Linked DNA regions of Saccharomyces cerevisiae S288C. Changing the gene in region 2 together with the main gene of any one other region gives a genetic interaction. Each region holds a gene or a part of one and is shown on either strand. Other genes may lie near its edges. The genes, in order: IAI11 and NPP2.

Region 1 (3,200 bases), on a different chromosome or scaffold from region 2:
CGGCTACTACCCTTGGTTGGTTCAGGAGAGGTAGAACCTTTCCTTTTCAAGTACTCGTTGCTACCTTGTGAGGATCCTGGTTTTGGACATAACCCACCAACGTGCTCCGTATTTATGGCTTTATTCGAAGAGTTGGTGGAGAAGGCTTCTTGCTTGAGGGCCTTCTCCTGCTGTCTGTTCCAATGTGCTTCCTCTCTTCTATCCTTTTGGTCATCCGTTTGAGAAGCATAATAGGAATTTAGTGCTTCATTTAAATCTCCAAATTCAGAGAGATATTGAACGGCTATGTTATGCGACACATTGGTCAATGCCATGAACTGCTGGATGGTTTCATCAGGTATTTCCGCCATACCTAAATAATGAGTTAATTGTTGTGCTACCGACGTTTCTTATATATTTAAATCGAAATATGTTAAGCATACAACTATTAAACCCCTTCCGTTCTTTATTGCCATCGATTTTCGCCACCAATAAGAGTTCTAATGCGGGTAACACATATAAGTAGTGGAATATATTATTGAAACTACTACTATGGTATAACACTATTTACAAAGAGATGAATTGTGTGTCTTAACTAAGCTGTCCACTACTTGCTGGCTTCTTTTATCCAGAGGCATGTTTGTCACTACAAATTCGTTGTTGGCACGCCTTTCCAGACGTTGCTTTAGTTCCTGAAATGATGAAACATCCCAGCTCCAACATGTCCCTGTGATGCCCATACCAAATATACCTAGTGTCATGCCCGTTGCCGCTAAAAGAGAACCTGCAAGACTCTTTTGTGTGTGTGTTATTGTCTGCGTCCGGCTGGCGTAGTTTGCTTGAAAAGTGTTCAATGGCACTATGTAAATAAGTTATGTTAGTAAACGTGTTCTTTGAGTATGAGGCCGAAGTTATTGCCTATGCATACCTTTTGCAGTTATCATTTTCTTCATGGCAATTCTACATGTTATAAGTGTAAAAATAGTGATTCCGAAGAATCGTGTCATCTGAGTTTTCCTCCTCTTTTTATAGTCGTCTATAAAATGTGTGACTTCCTCACTACTGATTTTGGGCTTGTCGTTTCTGCTCACTAACATTATTGTTGGCCAGTCCTTTATTTCGAATTTTCTTCTTGTGTTTACATTATGTTTCAATTCGCATATTACATTAATAGAGAAAGACCTATTAAAAAATCGCTGCGCGTCCAATAACATTCACTGATTTACAAGTGCAGTTGAACAAAAGCAAGATAAGACAAGTACTACAACATGCATCCACAGTTAGAAGCTGAACGTTTTCATTGTAAGTATCCAGATTTTACTTCATATATTTGCCTTTTTCTGTGCTCCGACTTACTAACATTGTATTCTCCCCTTCTTCATTTTAGCCTGTTTGGACTTCATCAATGCACTCGATAAATGCCATCAAAAGGAATATTACAAGAGAATATTTGGCCTTTGTAACAACGAAAAGGATGCTTTGAACAAGTGTCTCAAGGAGGCAAGTTTGAATAACAAGAAACGTGCTGTCATTGAAAGTAGAATAAAGAGAGCTGATGTAGAAAAGAGATGGAAGAAAATTGAGGAAGAAGAATATGGCGAGGACGCTATATTAAAGACTATCTTAGATAGACAGTACGCCAAGAAAAAGCAGGAAAGTGACAATGATGCGAACTCGAAATAAAAGCTTTTTTTCTGTCGCTACTTCATTCACACAAATCATCTCAATATCCCTTGTAAATAAAAGGCAGAGTACAGTTTTCAAGTTTATATTTCTTCAGCGCAGTCTTTATATTTATATCTTTAAATATACTTAGAACTGAACAGAACCCATGGCTTTTTGCAAAGCTTTCAAGTAGCTCAGTCGTTTCTTATATTGATTATTCATATACAAATATCTCGAATTCCAATTATTCATGACTGCTTCAAAATAGTTATCGTCAAAGCTCCAAATTTCGACCAGCTTATCCTTTATTTCGTTATGTTTATCTATCCATATACCAAGCTGTCTGGTGAAGTTCATCAATTCCTTTAGCCTTTCTTTTAGTTCGACCATCTCTACATCTTTCGCATCTTCGTATAGTAGCTCTAGCCCCAATAGTGGCTTCCATTCACTTACAACAATATTTTTAAGATTGAGGGAAGCGTGCTCTGTCAAGATCTTGTCACTCCATCCATATTCTGCGTTAGATACGGCTTCGAATTGTGTTAAAGGAACTGGAGAAATCCTACCTGCCCAGAAGTTGATACAGTCCATAAACTTGTGGGCTTCTTCAACACTTCTCGTCTGGAACTCCAGAACAAGCTTTGGTCCGTTGATATTCTCTGGAAAACTAACGGTAAAGTTGCCACTTTTCCTCTTGGTGTTTTTGTTACACACATTTGATTTCATTGCTCCACTACCTATAATTATATTATCTTGCACGACATGTGCTTCAGCTTCAAGCAGTGAGTAAGCAAAATAAGAGCTACTGATATCTTTGAAATAGTCGATGGTAGCACTGTCTGTTTCACTTGATTGGATGATATCCTTAACATCTGGTTTAATTTTGAAAATAAAAATTCTGCCCTCCTTGACCTGTATTTTCACCCTCTCCCATTCAGAATCCTTATTCAAATACGATAAAGAAGTCCTTCTAGATGTGTGCTCAATAAGTGTAGTCGTTTTAGATGGTTTTAGCCATCCGAAGAACGATTTGTTTCTCTTAGAGGTCATTTTTGGTGCCGCCACTTGATCTTTGTCTCTTTTAGAATATTTACGTGGTAAAGATTTCTTGCTTATAAGAATTAAATCGTCCATGAACCAACTGGAGCCGTTTTCGGTAATTAAACCGTCATCAAAAGACTCTTTAAGGTAGAGTGCATCCATGGGGTGATTATTGTGAAAGTTTTTATTTGATTTTGCGCTCATTTCTCGTACAGATACTTGACCATCTCTTGAATATAGTGTAGTAGAATTAGAGTTAACACTACGTAAATTTGATGTACTAAATTCCCGTGATCCTAGAGTAGAGAACCTTTTCAAGGAAGATTGGTTATCTGATATATTTATTGATGTTCTAGATTCTGTGCATAACGGTAAAGGCGTTTCATTTAACGTTTTATAGTATTCGGAAAGTTCTTCGATGATCAAATGTTCGCGGGAGTATATTTTCAATTCTTCGTATTCATTTTCCTCTCTTAGTGCCCTCAGTGTATTGTTGATAAATGCAACCATGGAAA
Region 2 (3,878 bases):
ATCCTGTAGTTCATTTTGAGAACATGTAAATAATGTTATGACACGGATATGCCCCGTTTGGCAAAGATGTCTACCCAACGCCAGAGCTTTCGCACCAGATCTGTTGGAATCTGAGGCTAGTATTACTACTAAAGGTTCCGGATTAGAATTTTGTAAACGTAAACGTGCACGGCCACCTAGTTTCTGCTTTAAGAAGAACGATGCGTTTACAGCAAAATTTTCTAGTAGCCCTGCCGAGTTAATACTGAAAAATTCGGACGTGATGCTCTCCATTTCTAGTAGTTGTACTGGTGTAGCCATAGGAATGTTCTGCTTAGTGTTCTTTGATCTGATGGTTGTTTGTTTATTTGCAGCTGGCAAGGATGTTGAGTTGGATCTTGACTGGCTGATGATCATCTGGCCTAATTTAGCTAGTACCTGATCCTTATCATTTATAACTGTACCTTTCGTTTTATCATTTATGGATGGAGAGTTAGTTGCAGAGTGAATTAAATGTGTAATATTCAAAGACTGAGTTATTGGTAGGTATTTGGGATCATCGATATCATCGACATCGTATTCATGTTCATCATCTTCCAAAACCAGATCATCTTGAGCATCTTGTTGCGGCTGAGATTGGTGTGTGCTTTGCTCATTTCTTGAAGAAATCTTGTTCCATGAATCTTTCTTTGCATCTGGAATAACCAATTCATCATTTTGATAATTATTTTGCTGCAATTGGGTTTGCTTTCTGTTATGTCCCTGTAATCTATTCTCCGGTAATATATCGTCATTTTGCTTTAATTGTGCGAAGACGTCTTTTTTGTTAAACATGCCCAAATTTCTTTGGAAATCGAAATCTTCCTGTTGTTTTATCTTACTAACATCATCATCTTGCCAATCAATATGTTCACCGCGATTTTGATTATAATCGTTTTGTTGCTGCTGTTGTCTTTGCTGCTTCCTTTTCCCGGATTGAGAGGCAACAGTTAGAACCTTTAAGTCCTTTAGCCTTGACGCCCTCACTTTGAAAGCTTGAGATTTACCACCATCGCCGAATTGAACGTCATTTAAAGTCAATCCTTTTGAGGTTGCTTTGGCAATTTTCCCCTGAATGAGCTTCCCATCTTTTAGCTCCACTTGTACTCCGAAACCAACAAATTGTGACATTATGGTTTCTTTTACGAATTACTGTATTGTCTTGAGAGCATGGATTTGCAGAAAAAGCAGTCAATAGTAGGCCTTTTGACTAAACTATTCGAGCTAACTATGTTTTCTTTCTATTTCTCAGCGATTGAAAAAAAAAAAACAAGCGGAAAAAGAGACGGGCTTCAAATCCAGGGTAATAAAATGACATAATTAATAAACAAGATGATTGCAGCTAATTACAATAGAGTGTAGCGACACTCGATAACTGGGTTGAGAGTTTTTCTATCAATTAGACGGTTTACTGTGCGTTGATGGAAGATAATTTAAGGCTTTATATGACTGTGACGCTTGATACCAGGGTTCATTAAACACGCAGGCCACAAAACAGTTTCGAAATAACAAAGAAGGCCATTTCGAAGTGTGCTTACGATATGCTTCTTTTCGAGCAACCTGTTGACCTTGAAAAAAATAATGAAGATGATACGAACATAAAACCTTTCGCAATATCACGACATTTTTTATTGAAACTTTTGCTTTGCGGTATAATACTCATTGAGTTGCTTTTATATTCGAAGTGCCCAAAACCTATTGATAATGGGCCCCGGACAATTGCGAATAGATCAAATACTTACTTCAACGGCACACATGATTTCAAGACGTTAACGATATTGATATCTATCGATGGGTTCCATCCGAGATTGATAGATGCAAAATACACGCCATTTCTTTACAACTTGCACAATTTGCGGTCCCCGTACGATATGAATATCACGACTGCACCGTATATGATCCCAAGTTTTCCCACTCAGACATTTCCCAACCACTGGAGCATGGTAACGGGAAAATATCCCATTGAGCACGGTATTGTTTCCAATATATTCTGGGATAATTTCACGAGTAGCGAATTTAGACCAAATAACCTCGACGCAAGAATTTGGAGCAACACGGCTGACCCTATTTGGCAACTACTGCAAACTGAATCGCAAGGCGAATATAAAGTGGCCACGCATATGTGGCCTGGAAGTGAGGTTGTGTATGAGGACCACGGGGATGTACCTAGGGAAAGAATGCCATTTTATTTTGGGAAATTCAATCAATGGGAAAAACTTCAAGATAAATTAGCTCAAATTTTCCGATACATAGATATGCCTCAGCTTAAAGATAGGCCAGAATTGGTCATAAGTTATATACCCAATGTTGATTCGTACGGACACAGTTTTGGATACGATTTACGAGATAAGCGGCTACAAAAGCTGATCGGTGAAGTCGATGGATTCTTTCTCGATTTGATTGAAGGCCTGCAAAAAAGAAACTTGTTGAAAATTAGCAATGTTATGATTGTTAGTGACCATGGCATGAGCAATGTCAACGCGAATGACGGTGAGCATGTTGTTGTGTGGGAAAGGGTGTTCCCGGCCGACGCAATGAGCGCATTTATTTCGCATCTTTATAACGAGGGCCCCATGATGATGGTATGTTTGAAAAACCCTCGAGACAAGCAATGGATTTGTGACTTGATTGAAGCTCAGTTAGAGAAAGCATATGGAGATGAAATATCGAGGAAGTTTCACGTGATCCTGAAAGAAGATTTCGACCCGAGCTGGAAATATTTCCAATACGATAACAGAAAGCACAGATATGACGATAGGGTCGGCGATATCTGGATTCTCGCAGATGAATACTACGCCATTGTAAAAGAAATGGGTGATGTGCCTATCGGCATTATGGGCACACATGGATACAACTTTAACAACTGTAGTGATATGGCATCTATATTCATTGGAATGGGTCCGATGTTCAACAATGAAGTCGTACCTCCATTTGAAAACATCGAAGTATACAATATGCTGATCAAGGCAAGTGCGCTTTTGGGAGAAGAAAAGACAAAGAAGGAGAAGAGTTTATTACAATAATACAGAGTAGTAAATACACACTTCGCGGCTTACGTACGCGTGTGTATACGTATGTAAGAAAATATACTATAATACGTATAGAGTGAGGAGACAACTAACCATGGAGAATACTAGAGGTACCATACCAAGGGAACGGTTCACTGTACAGAGTTGTGTCCATAGTTGGTTAACACATCGAAAAGAATGGAAATCTATGTTTTTATTATTACAAGTTTTGAAGATTGCCAAAGAAATCAAGAATTTCGTGAGATTGAAAGTCATCGGGTCCAACTCGATGTTCAGGTCGTAGCGGATGAAGTTGATGTAGTATGACACTAACGTTGGAATACCCCTAAAGAAGAGCAGCCACGTGAGTATTGGTAAACAGAAATCGAGCGTGTATTGATATTTATTATGGGCGGCAACGGCGGCTTCCAGCGACGATGCGAGCGAAGAAGAAGAAGTTGGCTGCCCGGCGGCTAATATGTTTCTCACCAGAAAAGAGAATTCCAACAAGGAAAAAATCGTATCGACGGCGGAAATAGTGGAAAGATAGTCCTGAACATTTTCATTCAATTTCTGCGTTTGGTATCTAATATCGGAGAGGTATTCCTGAAAGTTAAACTTGAACTTAGTAAACGCAGAGGTGGACGAGTCGTTATCTGTGCTAAAATCCAACAAATTGAAGTTCGTTTTGGCGTTTGAATTTGCATTCCTGCTGGAAAGCGGCTTTGTCGCGCTTGTTTCATCGCCTGATTGCGGTTTCTCATCATCATCCTCCTTGATGTACGCTTTCTCCAGATCGGAATCATTTGTGGCGGTGTCACAGGATCCAGACCCAGACCCGTTTCCAGATCC

The links.
Region 1: mutations in NPP2 (region 2) and IAI11 together harm fitness more than expected from each alone (negative genetic interaction), as found in Saccharomyces cerevisiae (one large-scale study listed by BioGRID).

Annotation. Positions count from the first base shown.
Region 1 is NC_001134.8:108,587-111,786, reverse strand, and holds IAI11 (Iai11p), read right to left. Parts: upstream 1,194-3,200; coding exon 908-1,193; intron 839-907; coding exon 543-838; downstream 1-542. Other genes in the region: protein phosphatase regulator SHP1, read right to left, coding at 1-350; CMC2 (Cmc2p), read left to right, coding at 1,248-1,281, 1,367-1,662; Arf family guanine nucleotide exchange factor YEL1, read right to left, coding at 1,792-3,200.
Region 2 is NC_001137.3:123,900-127,777, reverse strand, and holds NPP2 (nucleotide diphosphatase/phosphodiesterase NPP2), read left to right. Parts: upstream 1-1,559; coding exon 1,560-3,041; downstream 3,042-3,878. Other genes in the region: EDC3 (Edc3p), read right to left, coding at 1-1,149; GTT3 (Gtt3p), read right to left, coding at 3,108-3,878. UniProt on the Saccharomyces cerevisiae protein: Mediates extracellular nucleotide derived phosphate hydrolysis along with NPP1 and PHO5.